Schizosaccharomyces pombe: one gene and its partners. The gene in region 2 interacts genetically with the main gene of each other region. Each region holds a gene or a part of one and is shown on either strand. Other genes may lie near its edges.

Region 1 (7,519 bases), 1.2 Mb from region 2:
CAACGTTTATCTATCTGTCTTTTTACATTTTTTATTGTTTTTTAAAGCAATTAATCAAGGATGAACTTTTATTCCTTGTTGCCATCTAGACATGATGTTAGCGCGGATAATATTACTGAAAAGTTCTGCCAATTCTGTCTTTGCTGCAATCCCTGGTATGCAGGTGCTGACACGAGGCAATTAGCAAATGCATTCAATATGATTCCTAAATCAGAGGGTCAAAAATTTGAGATTTGGGTCTTATTTCTCCTTGTCCGGCAATACCACCAAAAAATAATTAACTCTTGGTCCAAGCTGGTGGGTTTTCTTGGTGTGGAACGAAAAGATGAACAATCTACTCAAAAAATACAACAGTATGTTGTTCGTTTAAAACGGTGGATGAGTCAAACACATGTTGATGCTTTTTTCGATTATCTCCTGAATAAACCAAATCCTTATTATCTCGAAATTCCTGAAACCCAACCTCAAGTTCGATGCAATGTAAATGTAACTGATGATTTGGTTATTAAATCTTTACGTGCAGGCTTAATGTCTCATCCAGATGTTAACTCTTCCTCCATCTCCACAATGCGCACGTCAACCTCCCCTTCTAACTGGATTCATTCAGCTAGTGCTAGTTTAGACGACAACACTCACAATCTTGGTAGCTTTGTCACAAACCCTCATGCAGATTCCCAAGAATGCCCTACCCCTCAATCCCTTTTAATGAGAGCGTCCCATCACATGTCTGAACGAGGTTCTCAACAAGCACATCAGACAACTCCTCAAAACCATTCTCTCCCACATCCTCCAAATATGTTTGAACCACCTGACGAAGACCATCAGTTACCTTCCGCAGCCAACAATTCACATAACCATGATCACGCTTTTCAAACTGCTGAAGCAGTTGGCGTTGCTGATTCCATTGATCCTGACTGGCATCAATGGCCTGATGATTTACGAGACGTTTCTTCACCCAAAGAAAGTGACGGGTTGAATGATTCTTGGTCTCGACAAACCAATCAAGTAGAAACGGAAAATGTTGAAAATGAAGCAGGAGTCCCTCGTAAACGCGGGCGTCCGCCAGGAGCTCGTAACAAAATTAAACGGCTGAGATCTGAACCATCTGTGTCATTAACGCTAAGTATCTCTTGGTATGAAAGATTTGAAAAGTTGATGCATGCTCAAAATACAATGCTTCGCTCTGCATTTTCACATGTTGCTCGTCTGCCCATGGAAACGGTTTCTCAACTTTTATCACACTATACTGAAACGATATCCCAATATCTTCCTCCCTCCGAAACTTCGCCGATCCCCAAAACTCCCAATTTTAAGTTCATCTCAAGTACTCTTTTAGCCCTGGTCTCTTCTCATTCCGAAATCCTTGAAGCCAGTACCGATCGCTTAATTTGGACCGTTCATCAAGGACCATTAACAGCTACTATATGTCATGCATTCAATTTGGAAAAAGCGCCGAGTATGCACTCATTAGCAGAAGCTCAGATGATTCCCGATGTCCCTATATCTCATTCAAATTCAATGGAGCCTTTAGACACTGTTTCCTCATTAAAATTAGAAATTGCCAAACTGAATGCGGCCCTAAAAGAAAAAAATTTAGAACTCGAAAATTTAAAGAGAAAGATTATGAATGCAGTGTTTGACTGAAATCACGATTCTTCCATGCATGTATCTATTTATGCAGTACACTTTGCGACTGCACGTTCCACGAACTGGTGCAATTTCAAAGTTACAAAATTCTCATGTTCAAAAAAGCATAATTGTTTAAAGTATTTATTTTGTTTTCCTTCTCTTTATTTTATAAAAAGTTTTTAGATATTCTACTGCTAGGTGAGATGGGTTACCATCGAGATAGTTTTTTACCTTTGCAGATACAAGTAAAATAATTTCAAATTGGATTTATCATTGTTTTTATTATTATTGAAAAAATTACCATCTTATTTACTCTCGAAAATGTTATTGAACAAGCATTTTTATGCGTGGAATTTTTGTTGTGACTTACAGAGTAACACTTTTCATTAACCCATAAACTAGACGTTCAATAGAAAATTGGTCAATATAGGGGTGTTTTGTCGATTTTATGTCTGTTAAAGAGTCCCTATCATTGCTTAATTCTATGCAAGGAAATGTGAAGATTGGAAATGTGGAACCGGCCAAAGGGAACGAAGGTTATGTTGATAACGCTGGATATGTCGACTGTACAAAGTCTTACTTTGAAGCCACGAAATCTCTGAAAGAGGAACAGCTAGTATGTGATCCAAAATTTACATTATTGGATTCAATCAGTGCCTTTGAAATTATGGAACCGAAAATGGATAGTGGGATTGATTATCAGCCACTTCGTGTAGATTTTTCACGTGATCTCTCTTACTTGGAAATATTAGCGTTAATGGATTTAATTGTCTCTGCGGAAAAAGAGTGGCATTATGGATCCCCCTTATCAGAGAGCTTACTCTGTAGTGCCCATGTGTTCTCCATTTGCAAGTCGCCTATTTCACAAGTGGGTGACAGTGGCTTCTCCAGTGGTAGCGGAAGGAATACAACTGACATCGTTCTTTTCCCTTTTGTTTTGGCTGTTATTAAATGTTGCGATATTGTTCATCGAGAATTTCTGATGGGAAATTTATATGACGAGGAAGACATTAGTTCGTTTTCATATCACATGTCCTTTCTTCAAAATTACCCCATAGAAAAACTCAATTATCTTTTGCAATCTAGCATCGAATATTTGGCTTCCGAGGTTATAAAATTTTCTGCCGAGTTACGACAAATTATCGAGGGAATTCTCAATAGAATACAACTTCGAATTGGTATTTTACGAGTGTATGAAAGGAGTGATATTAAGACCACCATCGATGCTCTCCATCTGATCAAAAATTTGGTACCCGAGATTCAGAACACGGTTTCGGTAGTTGATTCATCTATCAAGGAGAGCATATTAAAGCAATATTGGGATTTTCGCGTCCAAGCCCAATTAGTTGCTACAGCTCCTGTGAGGAATATTCCTCCTACTGGCATTGAGCATTCTTATCAACGAATTTTGTATTTTGCTGATGATATGCTTTTGATTTTGAATAGCCACACTCTCGCTTCTTCCTTGGCAGTATATCAGTTTTGTTTAGATTTTACGAGATTGAATCGTACTCCAGAGCCTTACGTCCGTTCCTCCCTTCAAGCACTTATCACTGCTAACAATGCAGTTAATCTAAGGGATCAACCTACTTCGTATATGTTAGAATGTATTCGTGAGTTTTCTGGGCTTCCTTCAAATTTTTATAATCCTAACACCCGTACAGTAATCGAAAAAAACTCTATCTCATCAGCCTATGGTCCGCTAGTTGAGTCTTTGATTGCTCATTCAACTAATATCATGGTTGACCTTGTCCGAATTTGTTCCCACAATCCCTGTCGGTTCCGCCGTAATCTAATAAATTTACTTCCTGAAATTACCGTTGCTCATTTTGAAGCTGAAGCGCTTGATTTGAAATTCGTAGCAAAAAGCCTACCAAGTAATGGACCGTTTTCATCATTTATTTACCATGTTAAGCTAAATGCAATTGAGCATATCTTGCTTTCTTCCTTTGAACAAAAACTTCACCAACCATATCAATGGCCCCATTTTTTTGCTGTGCTTGATCATGTCTTTTCTATCCACCAGACTCATTTAGAGCTTCATGGAAAGGATCGTAATACCCCACCTATGGCCAAAACCTTTGTTACATATTTGCATCGAATATTGAATGCTATAAAGGAGACCTATTCTGGCTATTTACTAGTATGTATAAAGCTTATCGCTTCTTTTTTATTCTAACGATTTTAGCTGACGGTGCTTTGTATGCGGTTGAATATCATTAAAACTCCTTCATTTACTCTTGATGAAAAAATTCAAGAGTCATATTACATGGCCCATTATCGTCCTTTAATTAATTTGCGTCAACCCAAGCCACTACTTCGTTCGGAAGCTGATTGCATAATCAAAAATCTTCAAAATTTCTCTACGGATGATTTAATCATCAAATCTAATGAAAAATTCACTGCTGCAAAGAATAGCCTTATTAATGTTATAAAATCCGGTTTTGAACAGAATGAGTTCATCAACCCGTATTTCTTGCAAACCAACTATTTAAAAAATTTATTATGTTGCTGCATTACAAATCTGGTTTCACTTGCAATCTTATCCAAAGATCATAGTGCTAATCTAAAAATAGTGGAAATACCTGGAAATCCGCTCCCAAGTCTTTCACGTACATGAGGTGTTGTTCGTCTTTTATGTTAATAAATCAAAATTATCAAAAGTTAGGTTTTCAATATTTTTTTAATCATTCAATCTAATTATTGCTGACTATTTTAAAAACATTTTCCTAAAATCATCGTTGCTTTTAGGTGCATCTATCTGCATTTCTTTATCGTCTAAATCGTCCTTCTTAGAATTTATATTGGAATGATTGGAATTGAAACCTTGAAACGTTCGGCTTCCGAGTCGCCGTGGGCGTGTAGCAGAGGTATTGTAATCGGAATGATTCATACTAGATGGGACATTGTGCATCATTTCATTGACAGTGGTAATGTGTAGTAACCTGCCACCAATTTCATGTCCTTCTAATGCCAAGGATGCCTTTCCCGCATCATGAATATCCAAAAACTCTACTACAGCACCTTCATGTTCAGGATGAAGAACAACTCTATACAACTTTCCGTAGCTTTCGAATAAACTTCTAAGTCTAGCCTCGTTAACAGTCCCGTCGACATTAGTGACTCCTAGGCTTTTGCTTTTGATTTGTTCGAATGATTTTTTTGGCGTTGACATTTTATTTGACTCAGTAGTCTCAAAGCTTTTAGCTAAGGTTCGGTTGTCATTGGATGATACCCTTGTTTTCTCTAGAGATTCTCGAGGCTTCGACAAAACAACGTTCAAAACTCTATTTCCCAATTGCTTTCCAGCAGCAGAAAGTGCATTTTCAGCATCTTGATTTGTAGTCATTACCACATATCCAAAACCTTTATGTTGATTAAATCTTTTCGGTATTCGAACACTCTCAACCTGCCCATAATCCCTAAAAAATGTTTCTACGTCTTTTTCATTTACTTTAAAATCAATATTTGTAACGTAGAGTTCTCTACCCTCATAGACAGCACCGCTTCTAGGAGTTCGCCGAAGCGGGTCTGATATAAAGACTTGAATAGGATACTTCTCTTCCAATAGCTTCTTATGTAACTGCAGGGCATTGTGTGCCTCATCGGGCTTTCTCATTTGTACATAACAAAAACGCCTGTTCGTGTTATACCTTAGACTAGGAAAACGGACGTCAACCACATTACCATATGCAGAAAATAATTTGGTTATATCTAATTCATCATAAGTCGGAGGAAAATTGGTAACGTAGAGGTTCGTGTCTACATGAATTTGAACAGAAATTTCATGACCCCTTATCGATTTAAGGTCTCTTGTTTTAGCAGCAAGAACTTCACTGGTTTCAGAAAATTCAATCTGAGCCACTTTAACATCCTTTTGATTGTCTTCGAGGATAAAAATGCGTATAATATTACCACAATCTTTGAAAAAAATTTTCAACTCATTTTCGCTTATATCGGAAGGTAGATTGGTAACCAAAACTGTAAGTTCTTCCCTATTCCTGTGTTGCTCAATAGGTTTCGACTTTTTGAACACATCACCTTCTTGCCCAGGTTTTCTTTTCTTTGAAAGGGCGGCTGTATCATCAGCTTGAGGCACTTTTAGTGGTTCGGTGTTTTCGACAGTCTGCTTCGTTTCTTCAGCAAAAGAATCCAATTGACGTTTGAAGCTAATCCTCTGTGCATTTAAAACGTCATATAAATGTGATGTGTTTGTGAAACAGTCATTATTAAGGTCCATAATGGATTGATAAAATTGGAACAGAAGTTGAGGCTGATCAACGTTTTTGTAAAGGCTTTTTTTTAACGTCTCAGCCGCAAGCTCTGGGTTATACTTCATCGTACTTATGTATCGAGAAATCCAATATAATGCCTGATTTTGAAAATCATGAAACATATCAGACCAGCACTTTTCTACGCTTTCAAAATCAGAGATTTCTGAATATAAATAAATTTTTGAAAGTTCAATGCGCATTCTTGCATCCTTTGATCCCTTATGATTTTTTCGCAAATAGTCTTCGACTTTATGAATTTGATGTTTCAAAAATTCCTGTGGCTTATCTTCATTAGAAGACAAATATAGGCATGCTTTTAAAAATCCGCTAAAAAAATCAATAACCTCGTCAAAATTTACGAGCAAATTTGAATTCAAACATCGATCTTTCTCTTCACAGACAGCCGATGTGGATGCTCCAGAAAGCGTCATATAAGTCAGTTTAATGGACCAAATACGCCCAATCCATGAACAGTTACGAGTAGCTCGTTCTGCTACACTGGACGCTTGAGAAGAAGAAAAATCCACTTTACTAAGCCAGGCAGTGTATTGCAACCAGAGTTCCGGAATGAGGGGATACAAAACTATGGCACGCTCATAGAGAGTTGTTATATATTGTAACTCAGCTGTTGAGCGTCGCGATTCATCATTAATTAAATCCATATACGCTTCGAGAGAATGATTTGCGCTGTTTAACAATAGTTCTTTATTAAAAATTTTTGCATTTCTTTTAAGTGTAGTCTCATACACTTTATTGCTTTTCACCATAACATCCTCATATTCGGAAGGAGACCAGTTATTTGTGACAAACGTTGATAAAGAAGTAAACGTTTCTTCAATCTGCTCATGTGGAAGTTTTAATCTATCAATATGAAAATCATATATCTTGTTTTTAAAAACAATTTCTTGCTCTTCTTCTCCCTCAAATAGAGCATCACCGAACGTCTGTAAAAATTCCAAATATAACGTCCAAACACATTGACTCTGTAAACATTGATTAGTAAATACATTTTTATCATGAAGAAAATTTTTAGTTCCTTACTTTAGAAAAATGAAATTTGCAAGTTTGGTATGCACGTTCAAAAAGAGAATGGGCATCTGTCAAAGTAATAACGCCGTTTAATTCAGACTGTTCTTGTTCAAAAGAAGAAGTGTCCATTAAGTTTAGCGTAAATTCAAGATACATACACCAAATTTTGATTGACAGATAATCTTGAACTGCCAAATCAAACAATGTTTTTATCCTCACATAGTCGTCTAAAGTCCTACAGTTTTTGCACTCATCTAAAAGGTAATCTACCCACAAATCTAAAAACCATTAATAAATGCTTGTCAAAAGATTAACAAAGTTAAAGTAATTAGTGAATAATTTTTGCGAGTCTATGGAATTCGCCTCAACACGCTTTACCTAGACGATTGTTGATTGACATACCTTCTGAAAGTGGAAAGATCGATTGAAAAGTCTTTCTAGCCTCTGACAACTCCTTCTTTTTATCTAGACGCTTTAACTCTTCAATGAGTTTAATATGACTATCATAATTATAGGGATGTAAAATCGTAAATTTGGTCAATTCATCCAGAAGCAAAGGCTTTTTTTCGTTTTGTTCTTGTGGATCA
Region 2 (5,421 bases):
CCGTTTCAGCCAAACTTCCCCATTCCGACTCTGTACTTACTGGTTCGTGGCATCCAAATGGAAATATTTTGGCTACTGGAGGACAAGATACAACGGCTAAAGTTTGGGACATACGTGCCCTTGGTAAGTCGTTTCGAAATCTAGGTAGCCAAATGAGTGCTGTGACGAATTTGTGCTTTTCTCCATTAGGTGAAAGCTTAGCTGTCACGGAACAAGCCGATTTTGTTCAACTTTTTGATACTAAATTATTTAATACATCCCAAGTTATTGACTTTTTTGGAGAAATCGCCGGAACCGCTTACTCATCTTCTGGCGACAGTTTATTTATTGGTGTAGACGATCCCATGTTGGGTGGCATTTTAGAATTTAGGAGACCTTTACAACATCCGCTATCTTTCATATTTTAATTCTTTAACTCATTGAGTCATTTAATCTTATAATAATAAATTCCTTGGTACCAAACAAAACTATTAATGAACGTTGAAAAAAATAATGAGATTTTTTGTAATAGTCAAATAATCATTTAGTTTATAGGAGAGCAAATAATATAGATGATAAGTATTGAGATATAAATAATACAAAAACAATAAAAATCTATATAGCATGAAATATTGATACTCTAAAGGGACATCACCAAATTTGTATTGAAGATTTAAAAAGGCATAATAAACAAACAACTATATTTTTCATGATAAAGATAACAAAAGAGTAAAAAAACACAAACATTACTTATGCTCTTCATTACGACATTTTGGGCATTCTCCAATTTCTTCGTCCATTTGATTTTCGGAGTTGCTAGTAGATTGCTGGCATCTTTCATGTACTGAATGACCGCATTCGAAGTGCACAAATCTATCATTAGGATCACAAATGCCTTGATCCTCAAGCTGACACTGAGGACGCGTTGAGCTAGGTCTGCTATACGGATGATGCCGATTTGATCGTCTAGCAATCGGAGCAGCCATTCGAGGAGTGCTAGTTCCCGACGAAACCTTGCTAGTATCACCGGCATCACTACCAACAACGTCCGACGGAGTGGATATCGCAGGCTGGTCTACCGCAACATTACTCAAGGTGTCTACAGCAATGGAAGAATGGGTAGGAGTTTGATTTCGTGATCCTGCAACTTCACTCGAGTTTTCGTATTCGCCAGGAATATTTATCTCATCGGAAGGTTGTCGCCCGGCAGTGTCAACATTAATGCTGCTTCCAGCAGCTGATTGCTGAGCAGGGGTGCTCGATTCACTTCTAGTTTGATTCATTCGATTCTCCATTTCTTCCTGAAACCTTTGCAAAATGCGCTGCCCCATTTCACTGAGATGGGTAATACCAGGACCTTGGAAAGAGCCATTGCTTGGAGGTCTACTTGAATCTTCCATCGTAGCATCTGTACTTCTAGTACCTTCCCTTGAAACCGCTTCAGAAGGAGTTTCCTGTTCGCTAACTGCAGGTTGTAAAGGCGGTCTCGACAAGTATATATGAATTACTGGATGAACAGCAGGGGAGGAACCATTATTTGGTGTATTTGTACCCATAGTTACAGCATTTTGCTGATTTAAATTCTGTAGATTGGGAACTGCGGACGTAGCGTTGCTGTTGGTGTCGTCAGTATTCTCTGGCAACGTTTGACCGTTTTCAGTCTGCGCATTGTGATCGGGATGGAAAATTCCATTTAAATTAAGCAGGTTATTATTACCGCTAGGACGGAACATAGACTCAAGAACAGCTGGTAAATCGGCTAATGAAGGAAGACCATGGAACGTCATTAACTGTGTAAAAGGCCTTTCAGATCGATTCGTATTTGCAGGGATATTTGTTTGGCTTCCAGGAAGCCATGAAGTTGATTCAGGCGAAGCCGTTGGAAGATTTAGCAAATTGGGAGGCTGTATTGAAGGTGACGGCTCAACTGGTCTAGCTGGAGCATTTTGAGAGGGCAAGTTACTAGTTGGCAAGTCTGTGGAAGTACTATTCGTCATACTACCAGAATTAGAGGTAAGATTCGAAGTCATAGGTTCATTAGAGGAAGGGCGATCAGGCATAGATGAAAAGAAAGCATTAAATAAGGACGTAAGCGTCGAAGGACGAGAATCCGAAGGAGTAGTCTCTTGTCTAGAGCTAGCATTTTCGGCATCAATAGAGGCACCTTCTCCTGCTAAGGGCTCACTACGAGTAGTAGGTGTTGAGGTGTTTGAGTCAGGGTTTTCAGGGTGAGTATTTTCAACAGGGGTATTGGTGGCAGATCGATTTGGAGCTAGAATAAAACGTATTCGGTTAAAAGCAATGCGATGCAGTTGCCGAGCTGGTTCGTCTACGCCGGTTCGACCATCAGTGTTTGCATTGTTAAGCTCCTCAGATGGATGAAAGTCGGAATGAACACCATTTGATGCATTTTCTTGAGAAACCGCGGTGTTGCCTTGGTTGCCACGAAGCGTATGTGAGTGTGGAATGATAAATAAAATAGGAGGATGAGCTGAACCTACTGTTTCGTGGGGAACCTCTTTTCTACAAAGAGGACATGTACAATGATTTTCAAGCCATTTTTGTAAACAATTTTTACCGAATATGTGGCCACATGGCATCTTGGTAGCCTGCTTTTCATCATTTTCATTCATATCATCGTAACAGATCGGACAAGTCAAATCCATCAGTTGGTCATTAGACAAAGGTTCGAAAGAATCCCAGGCTTCTTTTACAGCGCGTTTTACGGGTGGTTGAAAGGGATTGGCAAACGGATCATTTTCTCCACCCTCGAAATTGGCTTGAGGAGTTATGATAAACATTGTACCAATTGAAAAAGCAACTGGTTGAGTCCCCGTGGTAGGGTGGGTACCTTCTTCACCCTCAGTTGCTTCACTGTTTGGATTACGATTCAAATAGTCATCATGCCCTTCAGATGATTGTCTCTCGTTTGATGATGCATGAGAATTATTCTCATTTGTATTGGAATCCATTTAAAACAGATAATTGTAACAGGAGATTCTATACAAAAAACTAGTACCTCAGTGGTCTAATAATAAAACCAAAAAAAAGAAATAAAACGACCACAATAAAGTCGAATCTAAATAAATAAAGCAGTACTCAAAATAAAAACAACAAATAAGACAAAGGAAATATTTGTAGGAGACTTATTATATACAAAGGAGGAATATGGTAAAATATGATTGCTGCGGTAATAAAAAAACAGGAATCAAAAATTTAATGGTAAGGAAAATGTAACATTCTCCATCGGGGTTTTCTGGCCACTGAATATTTCAATATTTATTTAGGCAAGCAAAAAAAAAAGTAAATAGAAAATAAAAGACGTTATAGAATGTTATAAAGTGCACCTTTCCACTTAAACTATCTTTTAAGGTGCAAAATGTGGTGTTGAACAAAATAGAAAACCAGGGACTTCCATTATATATTGCCAATAGAGACAGTGAACATGTGGGCGTTCATTAGGACATTCAATACCTTAATATTTTTAAGGAGTTATAAAAGGTTCTCCTTATTTGATAGTTGGGAGGTTTGTTGACATAAAGCATATGAAAACCGAAATTCTGCGAATCGTGTAAGAAACCGCATATCCTTGAATTTATAATTGACATTTAAGCTAATGCTTTATATATGTACTAAAAAAATGATATGCTCTTTAGTAAAGGAATCATCTAAATACATATTTTGCCATTTAAAATATGTATATTAGAAACTAACAATTACATATTCTTTCCGCTTTTATTATGCTGTTATAAGAACTTCGTTTCAATATATGTTCATCACTAATAAGAAAGTATTAAATTTTAAGTTCACAGCAAACACACGCAGGAACATAGTTGTCGAAATAAAAAGTAGCACCAAACTTTGAAGTTTCGTTCATCGGTATCTTATTAAGCACTCCATGCGTAAATATTTGAAGTCTAACTAAGAATGTTATCAATGGAAAAATAAATGTAGTGGGTTTCAAAAGATCTCAGTTGGCCTTCATGAAACTTTGTGTGATAGTATTAACCATAAAAGAATGTATGAATAAAAGAACGTAATGTGCACCTAAAAATAACCATTGGGCTCTATTCAAATATTCAATCAGAAAAGAAGATATATGCTTGAAAGTAACAGTATGGGAGGTTATATAAACTCATACTAAAATACAGGATCCGTCATACAGTCTTTTGGCTTTTGTATTATAAAAATACGTAATCAGTTGATGCTTAAGGATTCAAATTGACGCTCTGTCATTTCAAAGTTGGGAAGTAAAAACACAATATCGTTCCAGCGCTTTCGTCAATTTAATTAACAAGCAAATCGTTAAGCCAGAATCCCATGAAATTAGCTTTTTCATATACAATGAGCTTAAAATGCAATGTAGTTCGAAAAATTATTTACAGAATTTGAAAGAGCTTTAACCAATAAATCTCTTGATAAAAGCCCTAGATAAAAATCTGGAAACAAATCCAGAAGAATTGGAATCTGCAAGTTCTGTAGCCCAACGACGCTTCGCGTCTTTGTCACAACGACTGTAAGCAGCGGTGTTAACACTTGTCAGTCCAATTGCGACAGCAACGAGTGCAAGCCAGAGAAATTCAAATCGAATTATAGCTACAATCCCCAATATGATCCAAATAAATGGATATAGATAGAGAGCGTACCAAAACGTCTTCTGATCAACGGCGTTTCTGGGACGACTGGGATCTGCCGATTCGAAAATCCAAATGCTTTCACCATCAACTCCAGTTTCATTTCTCCATCTCAAACCAACTAGTAAACGACCAGAGACGTTTTTAACAGTCCAAAGATCAACAGCTAGCAAAGTGAAAATTACAATAAACAACAACATACTATTTTTATTTGTTTAGCTCAATTTCTTTTTCTTTTAAATTTCTGCTATTAAAAACTTACAAACTTGAGGTAAAGAACATGCCCAATATGTATGCCACAATTGCACCGGTACGAAATAAAAGAAAGAAGAAAAGAGCTACAGGATGCGAAGACATTTGAAACATCTGCGGTAGCCTACTAGCATTCCTTTCCTGCTCGGCAATTGTCTCCGTATTTTGATAGTCCATTTTCGTCAACGTGATATGGTTATCAACGTAAAGGTTTCGATCCAAAGAGGTGAACATCTCAGCAGGGGTTTGACAGTATGCGAATAAGGAACCTTAACGAAGATTCTTATTGTGTAGCAAGCCTGGTTTTCTAAAAGATCGTATTCGAAAGTGAATGTTTAGTTGTTAATTTAAGTTTTATAATATTCTTCTAACGAAAATGTTTATTAAATTTTTTTAAAACTGTAATGCATATAATATCCAAAGTATGAATCTGACTGCCTGTCTGTTTAATTTTGTTAATGCCTATCATCTAAGCATTTGAAGTAAATTAAATTTTTCTGTAATACTGAATTCCTAATTTTATTAACAAAATCCAAAAAGCATTTTAGACAAGAAG
Region 3 (2,689 bases), on a different chromosome or scaffold from region 2:
CAATACTTGAAAGCATATTTGATGCTTTAGTACTCTCGCTATTTTACGCTGTACTTGTTTGATTACTTTTATCTTAGTTAACATGCTGACAAATGTGATGGGTTATTTTCCGAAATCACAACACCTGTCTTCTACTCAAGCAGTAATACAAGTCTTGAAAAGCTCTGACTCAAACCGATGGAACTAGAAACACTCGAAAAAGATTGCTCCAATATTGAGAACAGACCTTAGCGTTAGCGAACTGCTAATTGATGACAACTCATCACTTTGTGTGCTACTCTATCGGAATCATGTCATTATTTATACAATACAAATGAAACACTACTTTGAATTGCTTTTAGGATCACCGTAAAAGAAGAAAATTGTATTTGCTAAAACACTTAGAATTGGATAGCAGCACCCTAAAATGATTGTTAGTAGATGAAATAAAGAAAATGATCGATAATAAGGATGAAACTCAACAAAAGACAATTCATAAAAGCGCTTTGCAAAATTTTTTTTCTGGATTTGAGAGGTATTCAACCACGGCAAAAACTCTTTTACAAATTCGTCTAAATCCAATCCACTCGTTATCAGCATTCTTCGACATACCTTAGTCTTCTTTTCACCACCAAGCTCGAAATGCTTGCAACGCTTCAAAACCAATTGATTCTTGTATTTGCAAGAGACGCATTCCAAACGAAGGACAACCTTCTTGGTAACCTTAGCCTTCTTGTGGAAAACGGGCTTAGTTTGACCACCAAAACCACTTTGCTTGCGGTCATAACGACGCTTACCCTGAGCAAGCTTGGAATCAGGTCCCTTCTTGTATTGGGTGACTCTGTGGACAGTGTGCTTGCGGCAGTTCTTACCAGGACAGTAAGTCTTACGGGTCTTGGGAATGTTCACCATTTTTTGATACTTTTATAAGTGATGGTTAGATGGTGGTGATTAGGAACTCGACAGCATAAAGTTTCTCTGCTAAACCCTTGTTGTACAAATGTGACTGTTTCTTATTCCTCTAGGTTAGGTTTACTTGCTGCTGTAATGTCGTTCAACGCACTGTTCGCAATAGTGTGAACAACCGATAGCTACCCTAAAAGTGTTTACTGCGTAAGATCAAGCTTGCAATATATCAAATGTGGGCCAGCAAACAAAATTTCTAAGCTACATTGTTTTAGTGCTGGAATTTCAATCCAACTTTGATTCTTCTGTGAGGGCTTTTTAATGTAAAACATGCGAAAATTATTGTAGTAAATTTCTATTTTTAATCACTAGTTGTTACCATCGCTGCACTCCAAATCTTATATTTATCGACTTCACTGATTTCTTTATGCAAGACTTGGCACAGCATCCGAACAGTATGAGATATTGCTCCACCAAAAGTTTAGGAAAATGATGTAGATATCACTATGTAAATAGCGAAATAGCGACTTAAAACAAGTCAAGTCAGGCTAAGCAGTATTTCCCAATTATCATACTTCATCGACACGTCAAAGTGACGCCCCAAATTAATCTGTACCTAAATCCATAATTGGACCTTGAGTATACTATATATTTAGTGGTAGCGCCCTTAAATCCTTTAATTACAAAACATTTATTTTACAAAATATTCACATTCATATTAATCTTGTTCTAACTCAAACTAAATATTAATACAAGAAATGCCATCCTACACTCACATGCCGTATGTACGCCCTAGTGCAATTCTCTTGGGGATTGCCTTCGACCATGCTGCTTCTTTCCTCGTTTATGGACCCCTAATGGGCGATATTTGGAAAAGGGCAATGAGCACTGCACCTCACGTCGAATATGACGCTGGAAGTAAAACCAAGAAGGTTGCTACAACTTATGTTAGCAATTTCCTTAGTACAGCAGTTCAGTCGTACTCGATCGCTGCATTGTTGCAACTTACAGGCACTGTGACACTCAAAGGTGCCTTTTTCGTGGGTCTTTATGTATTTGGTGCATCTGGATTGCCCGACGTAGTCGACTATATGTTCACAGAAAGCAGAGGTACCCCTTACATCCTTGTCAAAACTATATCTTCTCTAGTGAAATCAGTAGGCTTAAGTGTTGCCTTGATCGGTTACGGCGTACGTCGTATTTAAGATTCCGATGGTTCAATATCTGATTTTTAAAACGACAAGTTAATCAAATTTTCTTTAATATCTAAGATTTCTTTTCTGTGTTTATCTCATATTTGGTTAGACTGTAAGTGAAAATAGTATCCCAATAGTGGTATTGGACAACATCGAAGCTTCCTTTGCTTGTTATAACTGTACATATTAAGGTATGTTGTAACTCTATTCAGCAAATCCTTGATTCACAAGATTTGCATCAGTCCTAGTGTAATACAGGGTAATTTCTCTCGTAACAATTAAAGTTAAAAAAAGTAAAAAAAAAATACACAAACTGGCATACAATCATTGCCAAATCGAATAAAACTTATGCACATTAAGTTAGGCTTGTCTCTTCAACATCTTCGGCATCTTCGTAAGCGTCATAGTCATCAGTGGATATCGTATCGTGTCTTACATGATGAGTCACTTTACTCATCTGTACATTGTTATCGTACTTAAGATCAGTATTCTCAAACACTGTATCACTAGAACTTTCGACTCTGTTATCGGAGTATTTAGAAGGGGTTTGTTCATCATCTGTTTCATGAGCTGTACTACGGACGATCGGCGTCTCATATATATTAAAA
Region 4 (3,381 bases), on a different chromosome or scaffold from region 2:
CTAGCTGACGGTGCTTTTTTTCTTCTCTTTCTTTCATCCATCGTAAAACTTCGAGACGTTCTTCATCAAGTGCCGATTCCAATGATCCTGCAGATTTTCCACCACCAGAGTAAAGAGCCGAAGTCATCCTTTAACAAATAATAAATAATTCAAGTTAGTTCGCTTTAACTAACTCAAATGTATGAATTGCCCTCACTAGTTTGTTTACTTCCGTTAGGTGGTAGATACAAGGTTGCCTCGTTTTCAACCTACGAATCCTACAAATAGCGCGCAGCGAAACAACATTTGATCTCCTTCGCTAATTTATTACATCAAAACTATATTAATGTTTACACATAAAGGTTCTTGAATTTTGGAGGAGTAATCAAGTTAAAACTGATACTGTAAACTATTAATTATGTTTTCAAAGGTTTAGCTATATTCTTTTTATTTGATCAGTTTCAGTCTTGTAATTTATAAATTGAACCAATGCATTTTTTAATTGTTATTAAAATTGTGTACTGGCATGTCATGCATTACAAACAAAAATGTTATATATTTATAATCTTCTAATATCTGCTTCTAATGGTTTTACCATGTCAGTTGTACAACAATCATAGAACAGACGGCAAAAGCTTGTTGCAAAAGATAAAATTCAATAGCAGGAGTGACATGTACAACAAATTATGTAAGAAATTGTATGCACGGTAAATTATAATTAAGATAATCATTACTAGAATTTCTCTACACATGGACAAAAACACTTGCTTGAGAAAAGTCTGTACTATAAGTTGAGACTATACAGATTTCAATAGATGAACTTCTTTTCACAAATACTGATACGGCAATGCTTCTGTATCCTTTTAGTTATCGTGTTAAGAAAAGAACCTCATCCACAATTCTATATGACAAGCTATCACTTCAACACTTCTAATTTAACGATTGCTTGTACGCCAAAATGCCCGTTGTATGTAAGCCTTCTGATCCCTCAACCAACGTCGATAGTCCTTTGCATAAAAGTTAGTAATCAGTGTACAAAGTAAATGAGTAGATAACACATATCACATACAGAAAGGGAGTAAATTTTCTCACCGTAATAATCTAATTAAGAGTTAGACATCAATCATGACGCAGCCTTCACAGCATACCTGGGATAGGATTAGAATAGCTTTCCATTTGAGGTGTAACCCTGTTTTTAACCAAGTGACGGTAAAATTCTTGTTCTCTCTAAAAAATTAAATATATTAGAATACTTTCAGAAAACATAGTCCGTAGATGCTAACATAACCCCTATTATCTAAGGGAATGAACGTACCGCTGCAATTTGTCTCGCTTGACTTTTATGAAGCAGTGTCCATATTTTTCTACCTATACTAGGGCCCAAAAGCCATCCAAGCCCTCCGGATGCAATAGTTCCAATAACATATAGAGTAAATAGATCAAGACCCATAATAGTCATGGTAGGGTCAACAGTACGCGTAAGAAAATAGGCGGATCCTAATCCTAGTCCGGTAAGTGCAGTAGGAATAGAAGTTAAGGTTTCAAAAATCCTTCTGCTTTTTCTTAATTTCAGGAATGTGGGCCAATTTAAATCTTGAGGTTTCTTCTGTTTTATAGACTCAGTGGAATAAGTTTTTACATTATAACAAGTTTTCCATAAAGTTAAAAATATTTTGGGACTTTGTAATCTTTTTACAACTAGACCAGGCCGTATAATAGGTATCATAACGAATCCTTGCTTGTTGGAAAATGTATACTTCATATACGTATCGCCTCAATTGCTCTTCTCTTTTTAACGTATTTTGTTTATTATTCCTTAGCAAGCGCGGACGCATACTAGGAAACGCAACTTTTTTTGAAAGTACGCTAAAATAGCTTAGTGAGATATAAATGAGAGTTTAAGTAAATTATTTGAAACAATATTACGGTTCGTGTATTTCGCCATTCTCCTATTTTATTCATATCCTTGAGTCAGTTGCAAGTTTAGTGTATTTTTTTATTAAAAATCCATATTATTATTTATTTATCAGCATTTGAAAGTCTGTCACTTGCTGTTGGATTTAGTATAATGTCTGGGAATTCAGGCGCCTCTGAATCGATTTCTATTGAGGAGACCAATAGAATTAGAATTTCGCTAGGCCTCAAACCCTTAGATATTTCAGAAGAAAAACCTCAGAAAGAACTTTCAGATGCTTCAGTCAAGTCTTCGTATGTCGATCAAGAACAACAGGCCTATGAAAATTGGAAGAAACAAGAGCAGGAGGAAATAAATAGGAAGAAAGAAGAAGAACTGAAAAGCAAATTTGAAAAATTACGGCAAAAGAATGAACGAAGACGCAGAACGCAAGGAAAAACACTCGCTGAAACATTGGCAGAAGAGGATGATCAAATCGATGCTAACGATACTCGAGCGTGGATACTCAAAATGCGTAATTCCTCATTGAATAAAAATGGCAATGGATTGAATTTTGAAGCGAAGAATGACGCCCCCAGAAGATCCACTCTACATTCGCAAAATGCTGGTCCCAATGTGAATAGCTCATTAGAAGGAATGAAAATAGCACACGGTTTTCAAGATTTAAACAAGAACGATGGTCTAGTCCTTACATTGAAAGATGCTGATATATTAGACGAAGATAATCATGATCTATTAGAAAATGTTGAAATGGTCCAGCGGAAGACTAAAAACGAAAGGAAGGAAGATAACCCCTACAAACCGTATGAAGATGAGAATGATTTTCTTCAACAGTCGGAAGCAGATCAACCGTCTGAAGATACTTTTACGACCATTGGTCCACAAAATAGTCTCACTGTTAATTCTACTATAGAAAAACATAAATCTGATAATAAAAAAACTTTTGGGACTCTTGTCTCTTTCGTTGAACCAACTATCACTGGCAGCGAACAATCAGATTATCGACAAATAAAGATTAAGAAGTCAAAAAAGAAAAAGTCAAAGTCTGATCGGAGAAAGCGTCTAGTAGAACTTGATGCAGAAAATGAAAATGAAAATGACCCATCTGATTTCGTGCTACCGAATGGTCAGAGTAACAGTGATCTGTCAGTTGAGCAAGATTCGGCTATTTTCAAAGAACAAAAGAAAATGAAGATTCAAAAGCGTATGCGCGAATTAGAAACACAGTCGTTTGCTGATGATGATGATTTGCAACAGTCAATTGCAATGCAGAGGAGGCTAGCTCAAAAAAGAGCGAAAATACTTAAGCCAGAAGATGTAGCTGAGCAATTGCAGAATGCCGAAGAAGTCACAGATATGACGGACTCGGACACGGCTTCCGGTTTAATATTTGATGATACGCGTGCTTTTGTTAATAGCATAAAGGAAACTGAAAATCGAGAAGCTCTTGGTTCCATAAATGAACAAGCATTTGAAGATTCCAAAGA

The links.
Region 1: mutations in san1 (region 2) and naa35 together harm fitness more than expected from each alone (negative genetic interaction), as found in Schizosaccharomyces pombe (one large-scale study listed by BioGRID).
Region 3: mutations in san1 (region 2) and SPOM_SPAC15E1.02C together harm fitness more than expected from each alone (negative genetic interaction), as found in Schizosaccharomyces pombe (one large-scale study listed by BioGRID).
Region 4: mutations in san1 (region 2) and pam17 together harm fitness less than expected from each alone (positive genetic interaction), as found in Schizosaccharomyces pombe (one large-scale study listed by BioGRID).

Annotation. Positions count from the first base shown.
Region 1 is NC_003423.3:4,131,642-4,139,160, forward strand, and holds naa35 (NatC N-acetyltransferase complex subunit Mak10), read left to right. Parts: upstream 1-2,017; 5' UTR 2,018-2,077; coding exon 2,078-3,772; intron 3,773-3,817; coding exon 3,818-4,249; 3' UTR 4,250-4,339; coding exon of another isoform or gene 4,340-6,886; 3' UTR 6,887-6,944; downstream 6,945-7,519. Other genes in the region: ARS-binding protein Abp2, read left to right, coding at 61-1,644; RNA-binding protein Prp24, read right to left, coding at 4,340-6,886, 6,945-7,210, 7,335-7,519. UniProt on the Schizosaccharomyces pombe protein: Component of the NatC N-terminal acetyltransferase.
Region 2 is NC_003423.3:2,952,091-2,957,511, forward strand, and holds san1 (RING finger protein), read right to left. Parts: upstream 3,369-5,421; 5' UTR 2,952-3,368; coding exon 726-2,951; 3' UTR 505-725; downstream 1-504. Other genes in the region: SPOM_SPBC2A9.03 (WD repeat-containing protein), read left to right, coding at 1-407; putative transport protein Tvp23, read right to left, coding at 4,379-4,814, 4,876-5,042.
Region 3 is NC_003424.3:3,720,711-3,723,399, reverse strand, and holds SPOM_SPAC15E1.02C (uncharacterized protein), read left to right. Parts: upstream 1-1,563; 5' UTR 1,564-1,643; coding exon 1,644-2,090; 3' UTR 2,091-2,143; downstream 2,144-2,689. Other genes in the region: rpl42 (60S ribosomal protein eL42), read right to left, coding at 381-401, 592-891; bud6 (actin-interacting protein 3), read right to left, coding at 2,437-2,689.
Region 4 is NC_003424.3:1,553,087-1,556,467, forward strand, and holds pam17 (putative TIM23 translocase complex-associated motor subunit Pam17), read right to left. Parts: upstream 1,735-3,381; 5' UTR 1,706-1,734; coding exon 1,295-1,705; intron 1,207-1,294; coding exon 1,128-1,206; intron 1,081-1,127; coding exon 1,049-1,080; intron 987-1,048; coding exon 915-986; 3' UTR 501-914; downstream 1-500. Other genes in the region: protein Dbs2, read right to left, coding at 1-127; U4/U5/U6 small nuclear ribonucleoprotein complex subunit Snu66, read left to right, coding at 2,048-3,381. UniProt on the Schizosaccharomyces pombe protein: Component of the PAM complex, a complex required for the translocation of transit peptide-containing proteins from the inner membrane into the mitochondrial matrix in an ATP-dependent manner.